Linked DNA regions of Rhinolophus ferrumequinum. The protein of the gene in region 2 binds, or shares a complex with, the protein of the main gene of each other region. Links are inferred from orthologs where the notes say so. Each region holds a gene or a part of one and is shown on either strand. Other genes may lie near its edges.

What was found.
Region 1: the proteins of WDR20 (region 2) and USP12 are in contact, whole or in part, in a crystal structure (PDB 5K1C), measured with the Homo sapiens proteins. The link is inferred for Rhinolophus ferrumequinum from reciprocal best matches to the Homo sapiens genes WDR20 and USP12. Residues at the interface, in NP_653175.2 of Homo sapiens: Asn41, Ser42, Gly44, Ser45, Arg151, Ser170, Lys259, Ser260, Tyr261, Phe262, Gly263, Glu282, Asp283, Asp284, Leu285, His301, Lys304, Ser305, Trp306, Gln374, Asp375, Thr376, Arg516, Met517, His533, Glu534, Arg535; in NP_872294.2 of Homo sapiens: Glu207, Asn209, Thr210, Ser211, Thr213, His214, Arg217, Arg277, Val279, Phe280, Pro281, Leu282, Glu283, Leu284, Arg285, Phe287, Asp297, Met299, Gln342, Glu345, Tyr348, Thr351, Ser352.

Annotation. Positions count from the first base shown.
Region 1 is NC_046287.1:99,319,800-99,329,469, forward strand, and holds the start of USP12 (ubiquitin carboxyl-terminal hydrolase 12), read right to left. Parts: upstream 5,327-9,670; 5' UTR 5,069-5,326; coding exon 5,021-5,068; intron 1-5,020. UniProt on the Homo sapiens protein: Deubiquitinating enzyme that plays various roles in the regulation of the immune response and inflammation.
Region 2 is NC_046289.1:2,662,596-2,672,265, forward strand, and holds the start of WDR20 (WD repeat-containing protein 20), read right to left. Parts: upstream 6,139-9,670; 5' UTR 6,031-6,138; coding exon 5,782-6,030; intron 2,590-5,781; coding exon of another isoform or gene 2,578-2,589; exon of another isoform or gene 969-2,577; intron 1-968. UniProt on the Homo sapiens protein: Regulator of deubiquitinating complexes. Activates deubiquitinating activity of complexes containing USP12. Anchors at the base of the ubiquitin-contacting loop of USP12 and remotely modulates the catalytic center of the enzyme.

The DNA.
Region 1 (9,670 bases), on a different chromosome or scaffold from region 2:
GATCAGAGAGCACTGAGTTTTAGATCTAGATGGAAACACATAAGGAATAATTATCCAATCCCTTTATTTTTTTACATATGAGAAAAATCAACTCAGAAAGTTTTACGAGACTTCCTCATATAGATCTAAACGTCAAAATCTGCACTAGAATTTACTTTCTGATCCAACTGTCCTTTTTAGTGCATCATGCTGGAGGATACATAACAAAATACTATATAAAATTTCTGAAATTGACCTACTGAAAAAGAAACCAAAACAAAATTAGATTATTTAAATCTGAAAAATGAAGGTTTCTGGAAAGGAATTAATGCTAAGTAAACAAATGCTTAAATAATCTGAGACAGTAAAAGTTTCAGGAGAGCCACAATAAATATGACTTTTATGGAAGAAAGAACTTGTAAGTGACAAAAAGGGGGTGGACTCAATGCCTATGGGGCTTGGTCAAAAGCCTAGAATCGAACAAGACAAGAAGACGTGATAAAGTCTTGCTGACACTGGCCTCATCGCATGGTGGTTCATGGTAGGGTAGATAATTAACCTATTTTGAGATCTATTATAAAACGATTAGCCATAGGTAGGTGGAGAAAACCACCAGAAGGTAAGCAAAGCCATATGATATAAAATAAGACCAGAGTATTTATACACATTGCAGCACATAAGTGATTATGGTATTTAAAACTAAGCTTTTTAAGTATATTTAAGTTTCAAATCCCAATGGTCTTACCTTTATTTGCAATAACTAATAAGTGCCTACGATTAGAATAGCCCATCGTCCCTTATAACTACATAACTTTATCCTCTAATAATCATTATAACCTGCCAAGGACTCAGTAGCTTATCACTGTGCCTTACTGGGTTCAAGTCTTGCTATTATCATCATTTTAAAGCATTCAACTCTCCATGCTTCTCTGAAATAGTACAAATTTTAAACCTAACAAAACAATCCATCATTCATGGGGCAAATTAAATGTAAAATTTTATCTAGGGTATAAGCTCAATTAAGGGTTTTTTTAAAAAGACAAAATATGCTCTGGAAGTTCAAAATATTTTCTTTTTGCTTTCTTAAGAGGTTCCAAACTCTGTTTTATACAGTATTTTCCAAATTTTCTATAATAAGAACGTGTAATTTTTAATGTCCAAAACGTATTCTAACCAAATTCAAAAGATCAGCAGGCTTAAATAAAAATTCATAACACTTATGCTCAATGTTCTCTACTAAGCCTCCTCAAATACGTGCTACACATTCCTTGTCAGCATTTAACCAACATTTATCCCTGATAGAAGACTCCTTATTTCTGAAGTTTTCATCCCTCTTAAATTAACACTCTCAGTAAAAACAGCAAAAATTAATAAAACAATGGCAGCTCACTTTGAATGTGCCTATCATAGAGACACTATTTGACTAATAAAGTATCAGTAAGAATCAATTACATATTTTACTTACACAAAAATTTCATCCCCCGTATTTCTTGAGATAGAACCAGGAATTTTATTACTTAACACAATATTCTGACTACTTGAAGAGGAGACTATCAAACCACCCCCCTCAACAAGGCAAGGGCTTTGAGCTGTTTGCTCCCTTACCTTTCTTTCTGGAGTGCTTTGACAGACCCACATCTAACTGGTAGTGAGTGACTGATGCCAGTGAAAAAGAAGACAAATAGCCAGCTTCACCTGTGACTTTCCTCCCATAAGTAGATGCAAGTTTACCAGGCACAGGGTGCTGTGCTAGGTACAGGCTTGTTCAGGCAAACCTGTCAGATGTCAGACCCCCCTGGCAGCTAACTTGTGGCCTTGGCCGCACTGCCACCTTGTTCTATCTCACCCTGTGACTGGGGATGGGCAAGTAGCAGCCAGGCCAGTGCCACCTATCCCTGCAACAACCTCTGCTCTGTCCTATCCCCTCCCCAAGCCACACAGTAAGAGAGTGTAATTATCACAGTGGGAGCTAGCTGACAATTAAGGAGCCCTCCTGCCGGGAGTACCGACCTCCATGCAACAGCCATGGCCCGTGTCACTGTCCGGTCCCAGACCACCAAAAACTGCTCCATAACTTCCACCTCAGTTTCAAAACATAGGCCTCTCTATACGAGTATGTTTTCGGCCACTTTTCCCATTATTTCACAATTATTAAGCATAATATTAAATATTAGGTAACTACTCTGTGCCAGGCCCTGAAGTTCGAAGCCACTTCAGAGGCAAAACAAACACTGTGCAATACTGACAATGTATTTTTTCACGGACAAATAAGAGGCATTTTTAGAGATACCTTTGCAAATGAATTCATTGCAATCTAAACAATCACTCGTTTGGGTCAGGCTAATTTAGGAAAAACAAACTTTACTAATATTCACATGTAGCAGAACAAGAGTGATCTAGAGTAACACATATCTGAAGATTTGCTGTTAACAGAAAAAGTTACCCAACCCTGGTAGTGCCACTTTGCCCAGGTACCTTACATTGCCTAATGAAAACTTTATAAACTTTATTATTTACGGAATAAAATCTCAATTCATCATAAATGTTTTCACAGCTACTGATTCTGAGAACTATCTTTAGGTGCAGCCCCTCCACCACTCCACACACATCCCAATCTCGTCCTCACTTACTGGTAGGAAAAGAGGGAGTGGGGAAACTGTTTTATTGTATGCAGAAGTTAGTGCTCCACCAAAGGGCAGAAATAAATGGTAGTCCTTCCCCTTGAGGCTTTCACAATCCAAAAAGCAAAGGAGAGAAAAATTTACAACATAGTACATACGAGGCTATTGAGATTACAAAAAGCAGTGAAATTACAAAAGGAAGACAGGACAGGGATTGCCAGGGGAAGGATTATTCAAGTAATGTCAACTGCCTGACAGTCAGGTATGAACTCACTGACAAAGGGGGAAGGGGGAAGTGTTCAAAGCCTAGCAAAATAGCATCTACAAAGGCAGAGAGCCAAATATCTTTGCTTTTCTTGATTGTCAATTTTGTAATTCTCAGGAGGTGGGTTACAGTTTTCTTTAAAGAATAACATTGCAGATTACTTTCAGATATTTGCATTACTTTAGAAACACATCAGAATTTATTCAAATATAAATATAGATGCAATTTTAACACTACTTTTGGAACAATCTCATTTGGCCAGGCACTGGTTGGTGTTTCTGTATTCGCCAACCATACACACCCACCACATGCAATGCCCCAGAGCGGAAACCCTAAAAAGAGCTTTGGAGTCTGACATTGAGATCAGAATCCCACTTACTCATGTTTCCTAATCTGATTATAGCATGCGTTATTAATCTGTTCATTTGAATACTGTCCGCCTCAACTAGAATGTAAACACCATGAAAGCAGGGACTGTCTTGATCACCGCTGCATCCCCAGCACTCAGCACTGAGTCTCTACCACTAAGTAGGTGCCAAATGTGTACCTGATATACTGTGTGAATGAATGGTTAGGAAAGAGTAGTAACACATCATTCCAGAAGTACTAGACTTTGACAATGAACTATGACCTGACAATCCGTGTAGCTCAGCAATCTGGCAAGATTATCACTTTCAAAGACTTAATTATCACATTCCTTTTGAAATATGGTAAGATAATCACCAGCATATCTAAAAATAATTAATCCAAATGACCCTCAGAAATCCTTTCAATACAGTTCCTTTAATATCAGTGCTTCCTAAAATATAAATTGTGAAGGGAAAAAAATCTATTTCAGAAAACGCATTCTCCAATGATTCATGCAATGTGATTTCTTTAATCCTGCAGATTTTAACCCCACCTGATTTCGGCCATTTTTTACACTGTTCATCAACATCTAAAGCAGTGTAGAATCTGCTTCTAGAGTACCTTTTGGATCTGACTCACCACTCCTTTAAAAAAGATACATAAAAATGCCTCACCCTTCAATGGAAGACTGTTTGGGGACCTCCTATAGACAGAAGGAAAGATTTCAGAAGTCTTCAGTAACATGATCACCAGGCCCACGTTGCAAAGAATAACTTTTTCTGCAACGGCTCCTAATTATGATCCCTAGATGTAGCCTCACAGAACTAATGAAACGAATTTGCCCCATCGTGTGGAAAATTGTGCTTCTGCCTAAGCACAAAAACACCGAGATTTACACGCACCCACGTTTTGCTTCATTCGGGACTTTTCCACAGGCATTAGCACTTCGCTGTCAGAGTCTATTTAAAAACTCCGATAAAACACACACAATAACGCTCGCAGTCAGTCCCTGCACAGAACTACTTCGAGCCACACACAGATGTGCCCGGTGTATCAAGTAAACAAATGACAGGAAAGCTTAAGCTGTTTTCAATATTATCGTGGATTCCCAAAGACAAGACTGCCACCTGGACACACGGTTGGAAAAAGGAGAGCTCGTCGCTCTCAGAGTAGAAATGGGGAAATTTTCCACAGCACTTATTTAAAGTTTCCACCTTCATACACACCCCCTTCTCCAGAGCACCGGGTGGGGGACTCGGCCTCGCCCGCGCCGCGGGAAGGAAATCTGCACTTGACTTCCGTCCTTTCTCCCGCAGGAACGAGACCCTGCCTTCCTGCCGGCGGACCCCCACCCGCGCCCAGGGCCACCTCCCCGCTCCGCGCACCGCCAGACGGAAACGGCGCGCGCCGCTCCGCGTCCTTCCACCTCCGACCCCAGCCGGGACCGCGCTCCAGCTCGCGCGCCCACAGCCCGGCGCTCCCCGCCGCTCGGCCCCGGCGCCGCGGGAAGACTTCAGCAGTTGAGCGCCGGGGCGCTGGAGACCAGTGCCCGCTCCCCGCTACGTCCAGCACCGGTGTCCCCTCGCTGGTCACCCTCGAGCCGCCCAGGCTCGCCCGCCGCCTCCCCCTCCCGGGGGGCCGCTAATACCCGCGCCCCCTGCCCGCCGGAGTCCAACCGCCCCCGCCCGCCTGCCGCCTCACGACCCGGCTCCGCGGACCACCCGGGTGAGTGGCGGGGACCAGGGCCGCACCGCCCGCCCGCCCCAGGGATCCCGGGTCGCCCCGGCTGCCCTCCCGCCGCACCTACCATGGTACAGATGGAGGCGAATTTGGAGACTGTCATTAGGATTTCCATCCGCCCAGCGCCATCTTCCACCCAATCACAGTGGCGGCGGCGGCGGCAGCGGGCGGGGGAGGAAGGGAGCCCGGCCGCCCGCTCACACTACGGCCCGCGGGCGGACCCCGAGCCGCCGCGGACCCACGCACGGAGCCTGCTCTGCCGCCGCTGCCGTCGTCGCCGCGGGCGCTCCGGCACTCCCCGCCTCGGGCCCCAGCCCCCGCCTGCCGGCCGCCCGCCCCCGGCTCCTCCCCGGCGCAGGGCGCAGCCGCTGCCTCCGGGCCCGCGCCTGCCAGCGAAGCCACCCGCCGCACACCCCGCCCAGCGCGCTGAGGAGCGGGCTCCGCTGAGGCCCTAATGCCCGGTCTGCCCCGCAGCTGCGCTGCCCAGCGGCGCGCCCCCCCCACCCGCCGCGTACGGGGACCGCCCCACGCGGAACCCCGCCCACTCCGCGCGCCAGGACCGCCCTGCGCGCGGCCCCGCCCACTCCCCCGGCGCACGACTCTCCCGCCTGAGGTGCGCCTGCGGGGGACTCTGGAGCCGGCCCCGCCCGGCTCTCGGCCAGGCACCGCCTCCTGCCCGCGTCGCGGTCCTAGAGCCTGCGCGGCAGCCCTAACCCTGGCTGGGAGGAGCTACCCGGGGAGGTGCGGGTCGCCTCGGAGGCCACCTGTGTAAATCCTGGAAGGGGCTGATCGCAGGCTCCAACAAGGGCGACCCGACAGGTATTCCGCACTGCTGAAACAAATAACGGGGGCGGTGATCTGGTAATTCTGAGTGGGATGGGAGGAAACTTGCTTCTGCACAGTTAAAATAACCCAGGAAACCCAACGTCCCAAGCACTTACCAGTGGTTTGTATCTTTTTATATTAATATATAGTAGGTGAATTACCGGGGTCAAAATCCCCTAACTTATGGGTCAAAAATCCCTAACTTAGCAAGACTAAATAGAAAATGAAAGAGGCAAGCAAAGAAGAAACTATGTTTAGCTCTTTGAATGAAGAAGAAAGGTAAGTAATGGGAGGGGGGGTGGAGGGTGGAGGGCAAAGCTGCCTCTTTGCCTGCCTGTTGGCCATAAATTTAGAGTATGTTTATAAATATAGTTTCTAAATATATTCATTCAGAAAATTGAGTTGCAAAATAGGGAAGATCTCAACCCAGCAGTGATAATGATGTTACCGAGACATGAAGTCTAGCAAGTGAGAAAAATGCCCGGTGAGAAATATTTAAGTAGCGTTAGCTAGTGGTATAGTTCCTCTTTTCTACTTTCATAAAATTGATCATTGCACCCTTTTCTTCGTATCAAGCAACTCAGCTTTATTTCTTCCTATTTGAGAAAGTAGTTCAAGTTAATAGAATAACTTTATAAATTAGAAAGCTTGTGATATTTTTCGATTGGTGAAATACAGTGATGGGGTGCTTTTCTGGGTTCCCCCATTTCAGTGGGGCTGAGCTTCTGATAGAATTGAATTCAGACAAACTTCTAAAATCAGATATGCTTTACCTCATTCAAAAAAGCATTCAAAGAACAAAACAAAACATTCGAACAAAAATCTAGGTGAAAAATAGATTTCTGATGCATGAATAGTGTTTCCATAGTGATTTCCATTATAAGCTTGCTTGGGGGGAAAATGCAAATAGAACATAGCTCAATCCCATAGTAGCTGGCCTGGTTCTCCAGGCACCTGCCTCCATGGACGCTGGGGCACTCCCTCTTTGCCTGATACCCAAAGCCAGTGACGAGGACCTTGTTTGTCACTCCAGGCATTCAGGTATGCGGCTGTTTCCTGCCTAGACTTGGAAGTCTGTCTTGTGTTCCATCCTGCTTAGGCCTCCAGGACCTGCCTGGGCCTCCCCCCAGTGTCACCATGCCCTGGGACCCTGTCTCGCCTATTTGGATAAATGTCTATTGTCCTCCCTACTTGTTCCAGCAAACAGGTCTAAAGTGCCAGAATTTGAGCCCCCGCCTCCCTCTACGCTGCCCACTACCATGCCTCCATGTTCGTGAATCCTAAAATGTCACAGGAACAGAGGCCACCAGCTTTATACATAAGCTTCTGATAGAATTATCTGGAGTGGTGCTTAGTTGATGTTACAGCCATCTATATTTGCAGGAGATACCATAACACCTAACTGCAGAACCTCACAGTGCCTTGTCTCTCCAGCCTAAGGTTAATGGGAGAGGCACAAACAGAGAGTCTTTTGTGTGCTGGGCTTTCCTTGGGTGTTTTCACCATTACATTACCATATGTAATGCAGTTGAAGGTAAGATTTGGCTGAAACGCCACACTTTGGCACCCAGAGCTTGGAGACGGTCATCTGGGCTTAGAACACAGGTTTTACCTGCAGCTATATAAGTTTTACAGAGAGCTTCATTGTGTCTAGAGAAAGATGAGCTTGTATACAAACGATTTCTTTTGGTCCTTCCTGAGAGTGTAAGCTACAAAATAGACCCAGATAACCTCAGGGATCAAGCAAGTAAACAAACTAGAGACCAGCTTAATCCATTTGGTCAGCACATTTTTAAAAATTGTTTCATTTGAATACTTTTACACAACCCTCTGCTGTCCAGTTCCTTGCAAACCACCAAATATTTCTGTTACTCATCCTGTCTCCCCGCTAACCACATGTCGCTTCATATATTTCGCCATCTCTCTTCTGCCTGACGGTGCTAACATACATGACATGCTGCCTGTGATGGAGTGGGGAAGGAAGTGGTGGGAGAGGGTAGAGAGAGTGTGTAAGGCACCCATAATGACAGGCAGTGCTTATCTTTACACCTAGCATTTTATCAAATCTTCATAACAACACAGGGAAGTAGATGCTGTTATTATCGTCATCCCCATTTTCTAGATAAGGAAACTAAGGCACAGAGATACCTTTCCCAAGTGAGTGGGAGCACAATATGCCATCCCCAAATATACCACTTTGGCATATTGATTATTTTGAATTAAAGTTACTTGCAGCCAGTCCAAGAAAGATACCCTGAGCCCCCTGAGTCCTTGAAAGCAGGAGATACATCTCCCATGTGCAAGGTCTCCCGGTACCAGGACGTAGAGAGACACCCTTATCACCAGACATGGGAACTCAAGGCCAGAATGCTACATAAACAAAACTTGGTACTTCTCCACTCAACAGCTACCCCAAGCCCAAACCCGTTTGTTTTGTCAATTCTTCACACGTATTTTTCTTTGTCTAAAAAAGGTGTATAAACTGCCTGCTTTGGTCACTTCTTTGAGTCTCATATTTCTATGAGCTCCTCTACGTACAAATTAAATTGTTTTTCCTCCTGTTAATCTGGCTTATGTCAATTTATTAGACCAGCCAAAGAACCTAGAAGGGAAGAAGGGAAAAGTTTTCTTCTCCTGCACAAGATGACACAACTCGTGGGAGAACTGAACCTGGCTCCAGAGGCCACACTTGTATCAGCTCTGCTACGCCAGCTCATGTGATGCTAGTAGAATAAGCGTGAGAGACACTGACTCCTTTGGGACTGGTGTGAAGGTTTTAGCTACAAAATATACTCAAATAGATATTTCTTTGTCTCGCTTTCCTCATCTAGAAAATAAGAGTAACGATTATGGCCACCTCCGAGGATAAAGCATGGAGCATGTTTAGAATAGGGCCTGGCCCGCAGCACAAACTGGAGAGCTCTGAATGGCCATTCAGAGTCAACATTTTAAAAGTCAAGGGGGGCAAATACAGCCCCTCAGGCTGCCAGATTACTCCCTCAGACGTAATGAGGCTCTGCTATATGCCAGGCACCTAATTAGTACTTAAGATGCATTTTCTAATGTAACCCCTCCAACGCCCTTGAGCTCAATCACTTCCTGCTCCTTTTAGCACAGTCACCACGGTGCAGCCCAGCCAGGGCAGAACGGGGGTCCACTCCCAGACACTCTGACTTGAAAATGCCGGATCTCTCCCCTGCTCTACCCTCCCCATTCACAGTTGAATGAATCAGCTTTCTAGGTGACATACATGAACATCATCCAGCTGTCCAAAGGTAGATGTTAATCAAAACAGTGATGTTCTTTTGTTGTTTGAATCAACAAACCAGCCACTTACTTTTCAAAGCTGACTTCTAATCAGATGAGCAAAGCTGAGTCATCTGCATAATGGATATGTGACTGATTTGCTGGGCAGGATGGCATATAGCGGATATACCCCAAAACTGTCATTACTGAAATCTAGGCTTAAAAGAAAAGGGCCGAAGACACAGCCCTGTTAAACTCTATTTAAAACTGAAATGTGAATTCATTCATTAAAACAAATACGTGTTGATCATCTTCTGATGAATAAGAGAAATTTTCACCCTCAAGAAGCGCACAGCCCATTGTGGTGAACAGATAATTTTTATGGAAAAGGAGCTGAGAAAATGAACCAAGTGCTGTCAGCTCCCAGGGGGGTGGGATTAGCTCAGTCTACAGGAGGGATAAACTGAGGTCAACTTCGAATCAGGAAGAATGGGATGAACAGTGTGTGGGGGTTGGGGCGGGTAGGCAGTGGTCTTCCAAGCAGAGGACAAGTTGTGTGCAGGGACCTTGAAAGAGTGTGGGATGTGCCTCAGGCTGTGACATGGGGTGTGTTGCAGGGGGTTTGTAGACATGGGTGGAATGTTAA
Region 2 (9,670 bases):
TTTATATTTCTACACAAACTAACCTCTTTGATATATAAATAAAATTGTTCTCTAAGACATCAAATACCAGACTACAAAAACCTTCACATTTATTTTTAAAACAAGGTTGTTTAGGCATACAGCCAAACCAGTCAGTAACAAAATCCACTAACTATGTTTTGATTCTTGCTCAGGTTTTCTACCAGAGCATAACAAATACTTAAATAAATTAAGTCACTCTAGATGAACTCAATGAAAATAAATATAGGTGACAAGTTTCTGAAGGGCAGAGACTGTCTACACCCAGCATCTAGAACAGTACCTCCTAGCTGGTGGGCGTGCCCCATAAATATTTGTTGAAAAGAATGACATTCATGGCTATCTCGTGGATTTCACTGACATGTTCTGGGAGATTCTGTCCATTGCTGATATCCACCCAGGGAGTCTTTCAAAATCTCATCACCACCCTCTGCTTCAAGGTCAACAGAACCAAGGTATCATATGAAAGTTTCTCAAGCCTACTGTAAGTGGTAGTTAAGATGCTTTCCCTCGGTTATAAGATTCTATAGTCAAATAACTATATCTTTATTAATATTTCAGAAGTGATTAAGTAACCCTCAATGGAAAAATACAGATTTCCACTCAATTCCACGTGCCCTACTAAATTAAGTACAAAATTTCTCAAAGTAAATTTGACATAAAAAGTTCTAGACTTCTAAGCTTCTTTCTAAACTATAAATGGGGAGCAGAGAGGTGTGAAAATTACAAATGGGGAGAAGGGTGTGAACATGACCTTCTCTGGAGCAATCCAGTATTTAAAACTCGTCTGTGGAAAAAAACCTTTAAAAGGCATCTAGTTCGCCCTCCCACACAAATCATGAATTCCTCAGTTGCCAACAGGTGGTCCTGCTGTACTGCCAAAGACACAGAATATTTTCCAGACAGAATACTCATTCTCTCCCAGGCCAACCCATTACCCTCCTGGATAACTCTGGCTCTAAAAATATTTTAGCTAGTATTAACCGACTCTTCTTCTGGCCCCAACTTCATCTCAGCATGGTGAGTACAAAGCTTTTTCTAGCATAAAGACCTAGAATCACAATGTGTTCAACTTGCTTTCACAAACACTCCACTCTCCTCAATTCCTAATCAAGAAGAAGGCAACGAGTCCAAGACATGAAGACATCTTCCCAACAGAAAGATGACTTTATTTTTATTTAAAAATTATTGAGCACAGAATCACACAACCTTAAGAGTTGAAAAGGCCTTGGAAAGCCATCTAATTCTACTTCTCACCTATTGTAGGAATTGCTTCAATAACATCTCTGGGCAGTACATTTGCAGCCAAGAATCTTAAGATTGGGGGAGGGAGTAAGGCTCTTTGACTTGAATGTCAAGTAATTCTGAGTACACATAGTTTTAAAAAGTTGTTAGTTGGTACGCAGCTATGGTAGGTAGCACGATTGGATAGAAGTAGATCAAAAGTGATCTGCGCCACTGGGTTCCTTTCCATCACTTCTTGTCTCTTGCTACATAATTTCCCAGTTGCAAGAAAGCTAAATTTGTAACCTACTAACAATAATTTTAAATGTCTTTAAAAAGATATGAGCTACTAAAAATAACTGTTACTTTGGGGCCCAAATTGAATAGGTTTTTCAGCTTCTAAAGATCTTTTTAAAGTATGACATAGATGGACATGGATGTTTATTCAGTTATTTACTCAACAAATAAATAGTAGGGGCCTACTCTGTGTTGGTCACTGCTGGGCAGTAGGAAGACAGAGAAAGCAGAAAAGACGTGGTCCCTATTCTAAGGGAGCTTTGTTTATAGAAGAGACGGTTACCCAGAGAATCACAAAGTTTAAAAAGTGCTAGAAAAGCAACGTACAGGATGCTATGAGAACACGTAATAGAGAAAACAACTGATCTAGCCTGGGAATTCAACGAAGGATTTGCTGAGGAAGTGATGTTTCAGCTGAGATCTGAATGGTGGCCATTCACATTTATGTTAAAACAGGTCTCCACAAAATGAAAGGTAAGTCCAATAATCCAGCTACCTTTGGCATCTTTATCCTAAAACAACCTTTTTAAAAAGAGGAAAGCAAAGTATGCTCTAAAGAGGCTTGAAAGTTAGCAGCTGAATGAATGTCCTTTGGGGAGCAGCAGGGTCTTACTCATCTTTTGAAACCCCGTATCTCCTTGCCTAGTATAAGTATCATAAGTCCCTCAAATCTTTGTTGAAATGATTAGTACCAGTATTAAATCAATGTTCACATTATCTTGAGTTGAGCAAAATAAATTCATAAAATTACATCTCCTCACATAAGAAACTCCATTCCAAACTTTGATTGTGAGTGCCACCAAGATTCAATGAGATAATATACGCAGAATGCTGGCGTAAATTCTGAAATACTTGAAGTATATGGCATCTGTGCAACCAAAAAACTTGATCAGTCTCTTCTTATTAAGACAGGTCTTTGGGTTCGGTGTGCTTCATTTTTCCGTGAGAAAACGCTGCAACACAGGTTTGCACATGCTCTCTCGCCTTGGTTTTCTCTGAGGGGGTGAGACTGCATAACCTCTGAGGTCCGTTTGAGCTCTAGAAACTGACCTGTACATGTTTTAAAAGGGCCAAGATTACTCTCCTGGACTTAGATGTTAGGCTACCTCCCCATCTACTCCACTCCCCCATGATTCCTTACTTCCTCTCAGGAATGGCAGCACAGAGTTCATGATTTCAGTTTTTTCTGAGGCTATTCTCACTCATTTTACATGCAGGTTTAAGTTGAATATACTCATCCAAATTTGATCTTCTGAATGATCTGAAAACTGTTGTAAAACTTTATATGCCCCGAAGAAAAACGGAAAAAAAATAGTCAAAATGACCAACTGTCAAAAACTGATGTATAGGGGCCGGCCCGGTGGCTCAGGCGGTTGGAGCTCCATGCTCCTAACTCCGAAGGCTGCCGGTTCGATTCTCACATGGGCCAGTGGGCTCTCAACCACAAGGTTGCCAGTTCAATTCCTCGAGTCCTGCAAGGGATGGTGGGCTCCGCCCCCTGCAACTAAGATTGAACACAGCACCTTGAGCTGAGCTGCCTCCCGGATGGCTCAGTTGGTTGGAGCACGGGCTCTCAACCACAAGGTTGCCAGTTCGATTCCTCGACTCCCTCAAGGGATGGTGGGCTCCGCCCCCTGCAACTAAGATTGAACATGGCACCTTGAGCTGAGCTGCCGCTGAGCTCCCGGATGGCTCAGTTGGTTGGAGTGCGTCCTCTCAACCACAAGGTCGCAGGTTCAATTCCTCGCAAGGGATGGTGGGCTATGCCCCCTGCAACTAGAAAACGGCAACTGGACCTGGAGCTGAGCTGCGCCCTCCACAACTAAGACTGAAAGGACAACAACTTGAAGCTGAACGGCACCCTCCACAACTAAGACTGAAGGGACAACAACTTGACTTGGAAAAACAGGCCTGGAAATACACACTGTTCCCCAATAAAGTCCTGCGCCCCCTCCCCAATAAAATCTTAAAAAAAAAAAAAAAAAAAAATCTGCTGTATAATGCCTAACTCCAAAAAGTCAGTTTGGGTTACTGATTAAGGAAAATTATGTGCTCTGTTTTAAAATCAGAAAACAGAGTCACAAAAACAATCATCTGTACTCAAAACTAATAAACCAATTCGTTCATAGGGAAAAAAATGTTTTAATTACAATGGCTAGAAGAGAGTTGCAACGTCCACCATGTGTATCTACAAGATACAAATGTATTTAATACAAGATATTACCACATGAAAATGAAATGTCACCAAAAAATTAAAGTGCTCAACTACATTACACAACTAAACGCAAATTTGCATGTTTAAGATTTTTGTCTTGTTCAAAATCATTTTTTGGTGGTTTTGAAAGGCTCCCCTAAGTTTTACCCTTCACTGTTAGCATCCCACTAAAGGAGAACACTGTTGTGATACTTTCAGGCAAGGGGCCTGTTTTTATGATGCAAACCAGGGCTGCCAGATCCAGATAAGGTTTGCTACTGGAATGCTCCAGAAATAATATACTTTCAAAGAAAACTTTTTTAAAAAATGGTGATGCCTACACTAGTAATTACTAGTAAATTTAGTTTTTAAGCACTTTTTGTATCTTTATATAAATAAAATTTATTAACTTAAAATTCCAAACTTATTTCCAGAGAAAAAGCTGATCCTTTCGGTCCTAGTACCAATGTCAAGATAGAAGCTTCCCGCTTGACAGTTACTCTTACTGCTTATTTTAACTATATTTTACATCTACTGTTTCAGGGCTTTAAAGCTCATTAGTCTTTATGTTATACATCACAGCATGCGTACTGCAGCATTTCTCCTTTTAAAAGGTCCAGAAAGAAGTTAAATAACTTGTCCAAGGTCACCCAGCAAGTCAGTGACAAAGTTGGGAGTAGGACTAAAACTTCAGCTCCTAGTCTAATGACTTCACTTTCCTAGTTCCAAAAGAGAAAAAGTAAGGCCAAGCGGTGTGCTTTCAGTAACTTATAACAGCATACTTCAAAGACAGTGAATGGTACACTTATCACAAACACTAACAACAAAGATTCACCTTGAACAAATGAGACAACTTGCTACCACTGTCATTTAGATAGCACTGTCATTCCCTAGTTTTTTTAACCAAGCAAAAGCAACCTGTTCTGGCTATTAACACTTAGAGAATGTTCACTCTTCAGTATATACAATTTATTTTTACACTAACCGAACATTTCTAAATCTGTTATCACCTTTTCCCATGCCTAGGTGCTGTGGAGTACATTTTAATTTCCTCTCTTCCAAGAGTCAAGTCAAAGAACGCATATCTCAAAAACAGTTCTCAATGAGAACAAAGTTATGTTGCCAATGAAAGAAAAGCTCTAATAAGTTGCTTCTTTTAAAGAGATTATTTTTAAAGGATGATTACATGCTTCACAGAATTACTGTTAAGTCGCCTGCCAAGAATGGTTCTGGTAAAGTAGCTTTTAAGGCATAGCCCTCCCTGTTTGGGACATAGTCTGACTTGTTGGACAAGACTGATCTGGGCACGCTCACACCGAACCCTTATGAACCACCTTAGTTCATTGACAACATCCTTTCGACCTCACAACTGTAGTAATCAGCCCTCCCATACTAGAAGGGACAAGATGACCCTCTTTAACAACCTCTCAGAAGGTTCCCTCGGCAGAGACAGTGACAGCAGTCCTCCCTCGGGTGTTTTTGTAAATAGAGTGTCAACACCAGGAGAGGCTCCTAGGAAGTGTCAGTGCGGCAGCAGGTGGAGTGGCCCTTCGTGCCCAGCAGGTCCTTTCTGACCTAGTCTCAAGTCCTCTCCTTCCCAGCCCGGGTTCCGCCTTACAGACCTTCCCAAGCCGCCTGTTCTCTAACCCAGAGCGAGACTCCCAACCCTCCCGGGAGGCGAGGCAACCTAAGTAGACTAGTCGGCCACCCCACCTCTTCCGGGGACTCGCAGGCCCGCTCCCTGGCCGTGTCAGAGCCTGACGGACCCTGCCAGAGGAGAGGCAGACGGCCCCTCCCGGGGCCTCCCAGACCGAACCCCGCACCCCACGGTCCCTTTCTACCGCCCCCATACCTTCGAAACGCCACCGCCACCAGCCGGCTCACTCCCGAATCCCCCTTCCGCAGGGGCACCCCAGTGGAGTTACCGGCCCACTCAGAAGTAAGAGCGACGGCCACCCCTATCGGTCAACCTGGCCCCCGCTGTCACCGCCCTGCTCCCGGCCTCTGCCCACGCCGCTGGGTGGCCCCGGTGACGCCCGGGTCGGTACCTTGCGGACCCCCTTGTAGATATAGAAGTAGAGCTCCCGGCCCACATTGAAGCAGAGGCGGTCGCCGTTGCCAGACTGGTCGTTGAGGTTTACGAAGGAGACGCGGACAGGGTTGGATCCCTGCGAGTTGAAGGGTACCCGGTTGGGCCGGCTGTACTCCGAGTGCGGCAGCAGCTTGTACAGACCTTCCCGGGTGGTGAATTGGGTCTTAATCTCGTTCATCTCCTTCCCTCCTCCCTCCGTCGCCATCTTGGAAAGCAGCGTTCATCCTGCCCCAAGTGCCCGGATCACGCCCACCGCGCAGGCGCCTTCCTCTCCCTCCAGCTCTTCCTCCTGGCCCCTCCCACTCGCGAGCCGGCCCAGCGGAGGCTGGCCGAGGGGAAGGGGCGGGCTTGTTTACGGCCTGACTGCGCAGGCGTGCTCACCTGGCGCGCTCCACGCTGCGGGGCGTCCGCAGGCTCCTCCTCTGGGCGCGGCCTGGGGCGGCCCCGCCGCGGTGCAGGTGAGGCCAGGCTCCGCCCGGGGGCGGGCTAGTCGTGTGGCTGTGTCCGCCGCCCGGCAAGGGCCGAGTTGGTAGGTAGAAGCCGCGGTCGGGAACGCTGAGGTGAACTCGGAGTGAGTGGCCTCCTCAGCTGCCTGCGGCCCTGCTCTGAGGGGCCCCGGCACCCAGAAGAGCAAAGAAAGAGAGCCGCCTCGGCAGCTGCCCCCTAGGGAGTCAGCACGTGGGGTACCGAGAGCGGAGGGCGGAGCCCCGGTGTTCTCCCTTCGGGAGGGTGCAGGAGCATCCGGAGGCTGCGAGGGCCGGTTCCCCGTCTCCCCTCCCCCCCCGCCGGGGCCTCCCTTCAGACACCCCGCACAATCGTCTGGATCCCCTCTGCACCTCCCTAAGTCAGTTTCCGAAAAGGTACCGAAAGACCTTAGTTTTGCGCTTCACCATTTCTTTTAGGCGGGGTGGAGGGAGAGGAATACAGTATATACACACAGAGAGAATATGTGTTTGCAGTTAAATATCTGAATACCTATTATAGTGAGCATTGGCTAATTTTAAGGAAAGTGGGTTGTGAGCACTTGTTTCTTAAGTCTGTCTTCACCAGGTGTTTAGAGAAAAGGGGTTGGGGAGGAGAATGGCTTTGGGACCCAGAGCAGGAATTCTAAGCAGGATTCACTTCTTTTGCTCAATCTTTTATTAAGAGCCCTTAATAAAATTAGAGATCATCGATTTAAAAAAAAAAGACTCAAGTGGAATCTGCGAAATTGTTTACTGGGCATAGTTGTATGCATATACTGCACTCTGTCTAGATATATAAGGACAGGTGTACGTGTTGAAGATTAAACAAGTGTCATTTTATACCTGGTTTTCTTGGCATGTTGCACTAGAATGAGGAAGGTTCTAATGTGACAGAAACATTCTGATAGAATTTGGGGCGGGCATTCCAACATTTGTTACACCAAAAATGAACTATTTCTTTAAGTTCAAATCATAGCTGGAGCGTCACAAAGACTGGAGCAGGTAAGTTCTAAAGTAAGAAGAGTCCAGATCATAAACATCTTATGTATTACAAAGCAGGTAGATGCCAGTGGAAACTCTACCAATGATGTAATAATGCACTTGACACTAACATCCTGTATCCTTTGTGCACGTTGGCAAAAAAGCGAGAGTCAAATCCCACTCAATAGATCCCTAAATATTTAAATTTTGTATTGTTTTGATGCTATCTGCATTTACCTAAAAGTCAAATAGATAATCAGAAGTCTTTAAATACCTGGATGTCTTCTGTGGTCACCAAGGATTTATCCCAATTTTCTATAGTGATTTTACATTGAAAATAGTATTTATGATGATCACCTTATAGGATAGTGACATCCTGAATCATCTAAAAATAATTCAGCTGCGTTCCCTAGTTATCAAGGAAGAAAAAAGCATAATAATACTTTTTGGAGGAAAAAATAGCAAGCAAAAATTAAAACAAAAAATTTTATTAGCCCTCAACCACAATTTTCAATTACCCATAATACATGTATACCTCGAGCATCCTATTAAAGTTCTATTCTATATAAATTCAACATATTTTATTGTGATTACAATAATAGGCTGTTCACTTTGTCTCATCCAAAGCCTTTGAATAATCTGTATTTTTTTTTTTAATGGTAGGATGTATTTTCATTTGCATTTGTTTCTATGTATCTTTTGATCTCTCCTCTTATTTTTTTTTTAATTTTATTGGGGAAGGGGAACAGGACTTTTATTGGGGAACAGTGTGTACTTCCAGGACTTTTTTCCAAGTCAAGTTGTTGTCCTTTCAATCTTAGTTGTGGAGGGTGCCGTTCAGCTTCAAGTTGTTGTCCTTTCAGTCTTAGTTGTGGAGGGCGCAGCTCAGCTCCAGGTCCAGTTGCCATTGCTAGTTGCAGGGGGCATAGCCCACCATCCCTTGCGGGAGTTGAACTGGCAACCTTGTAGTTGAGAGTCCACTGGCCCATGTGGGAATCGAACCTCAGCTCCAGGTCCAGTTGCCATTGCTAGTTGCAGGGGGCATAGCCCACCATCCCTTGCGGGAGTTGAACTGGCAACCTTGTAGTTGAGAGTCCACTGGCCCATGTGGGAATCGAACCTCAGCTCCAGGTCCAGTTGCCATTGCTAGTTGCAGGGGGCATAGCCCACCATCCCTTGCGGGAGTTGAACTGGCAACCTTGTAGTTGAGAGTCCACTGGCCCATGTGGGAATCGAACCGGCAGCCTTCGGAGTTAGGAGCACGGAGCTCCAACCGCCTGAGCCACAGGCCGTCCCCCGAATAATCTGTATTCTTAATACTTTTTCTCTTGTAATTTTTTTTCCACCACACTCAAAGATTCAGTAAATAACACCTGAATTTATATAACTGGGCCCGATCTGAAGTTCATTTCTGATTTTCAGTTTCAAACCAGGCATTTCTAATTGGATTTGTGCCTCAAATTCATTATTCTCTAAACCTTATCGGTTCACTTTCCTTTTCTTCAAACTTGAATCATTATAAAATGGCTTTATGAATGATTTCCTTAATTTCACTTTTTCTCTCAACTTTGCTCCTATAAACAACTTCCAAATTAATTTTATTGAAACAATACTTTAGACATATATTCTCTTGCCCAAACACTTTCAGTGATTTGCAAAATTCATATACGTATTTAAGTTATACACCAAGCAGTTCTTGGCCTGTTAAGTATTGCATAAATCCCTCATTCCAGTCAAACTGTTCTGCTGTCACCCTTAGCTCTTTCTTTTGCTTGAAAAGAACCTTCTTTCCTTTATTTTCCTTTTCATAGCCTGTTCCTCAAGAATTAGTTTAAGTTCTATCTTCACCAAGCCTGTCCCAAGCCCTGGGTGATAAAACCATGTTTAAAGTCAAGAATTCTCAATTCCCAGTTCATGGCTGGCTTCAGGGCGGGTTTGAACTCCTTGTAATTATATTCAAAATTGTGTGTACATGTTCATTGGATCATGGGAGTCTATAGCTTTCATCAGATTTTCAAAGAGGTGTGACTACCTTCCTGCCAAATTTAAAAATTACCTCTCTGAACTTCTGTGGCACTCCTCCGAGCTTTCATTTGTCCTATGTAATAGCCTAAAACATTACCATCTTTTGGTATTTGTCAGCATATGCTAATTATCTTGTATTGATACTTATCTTTTCGTTTGTATATGCTGCCTTTCTACCGGAGTATATGCACATTCAAGGATGTGAGGGAACTCGTTAAAATTATTTGTATCCTCAAATATTTATTTGAGTGTCCCCATGTGCCACACTAATTCTAGCCTGGGGGATGCATCAACAAACAAAAATCCCACAATCATGGAGTCTATATTGCAAGAAGACAGGATAAACAAACAAATAAACCGACTAGCGATTGTGCT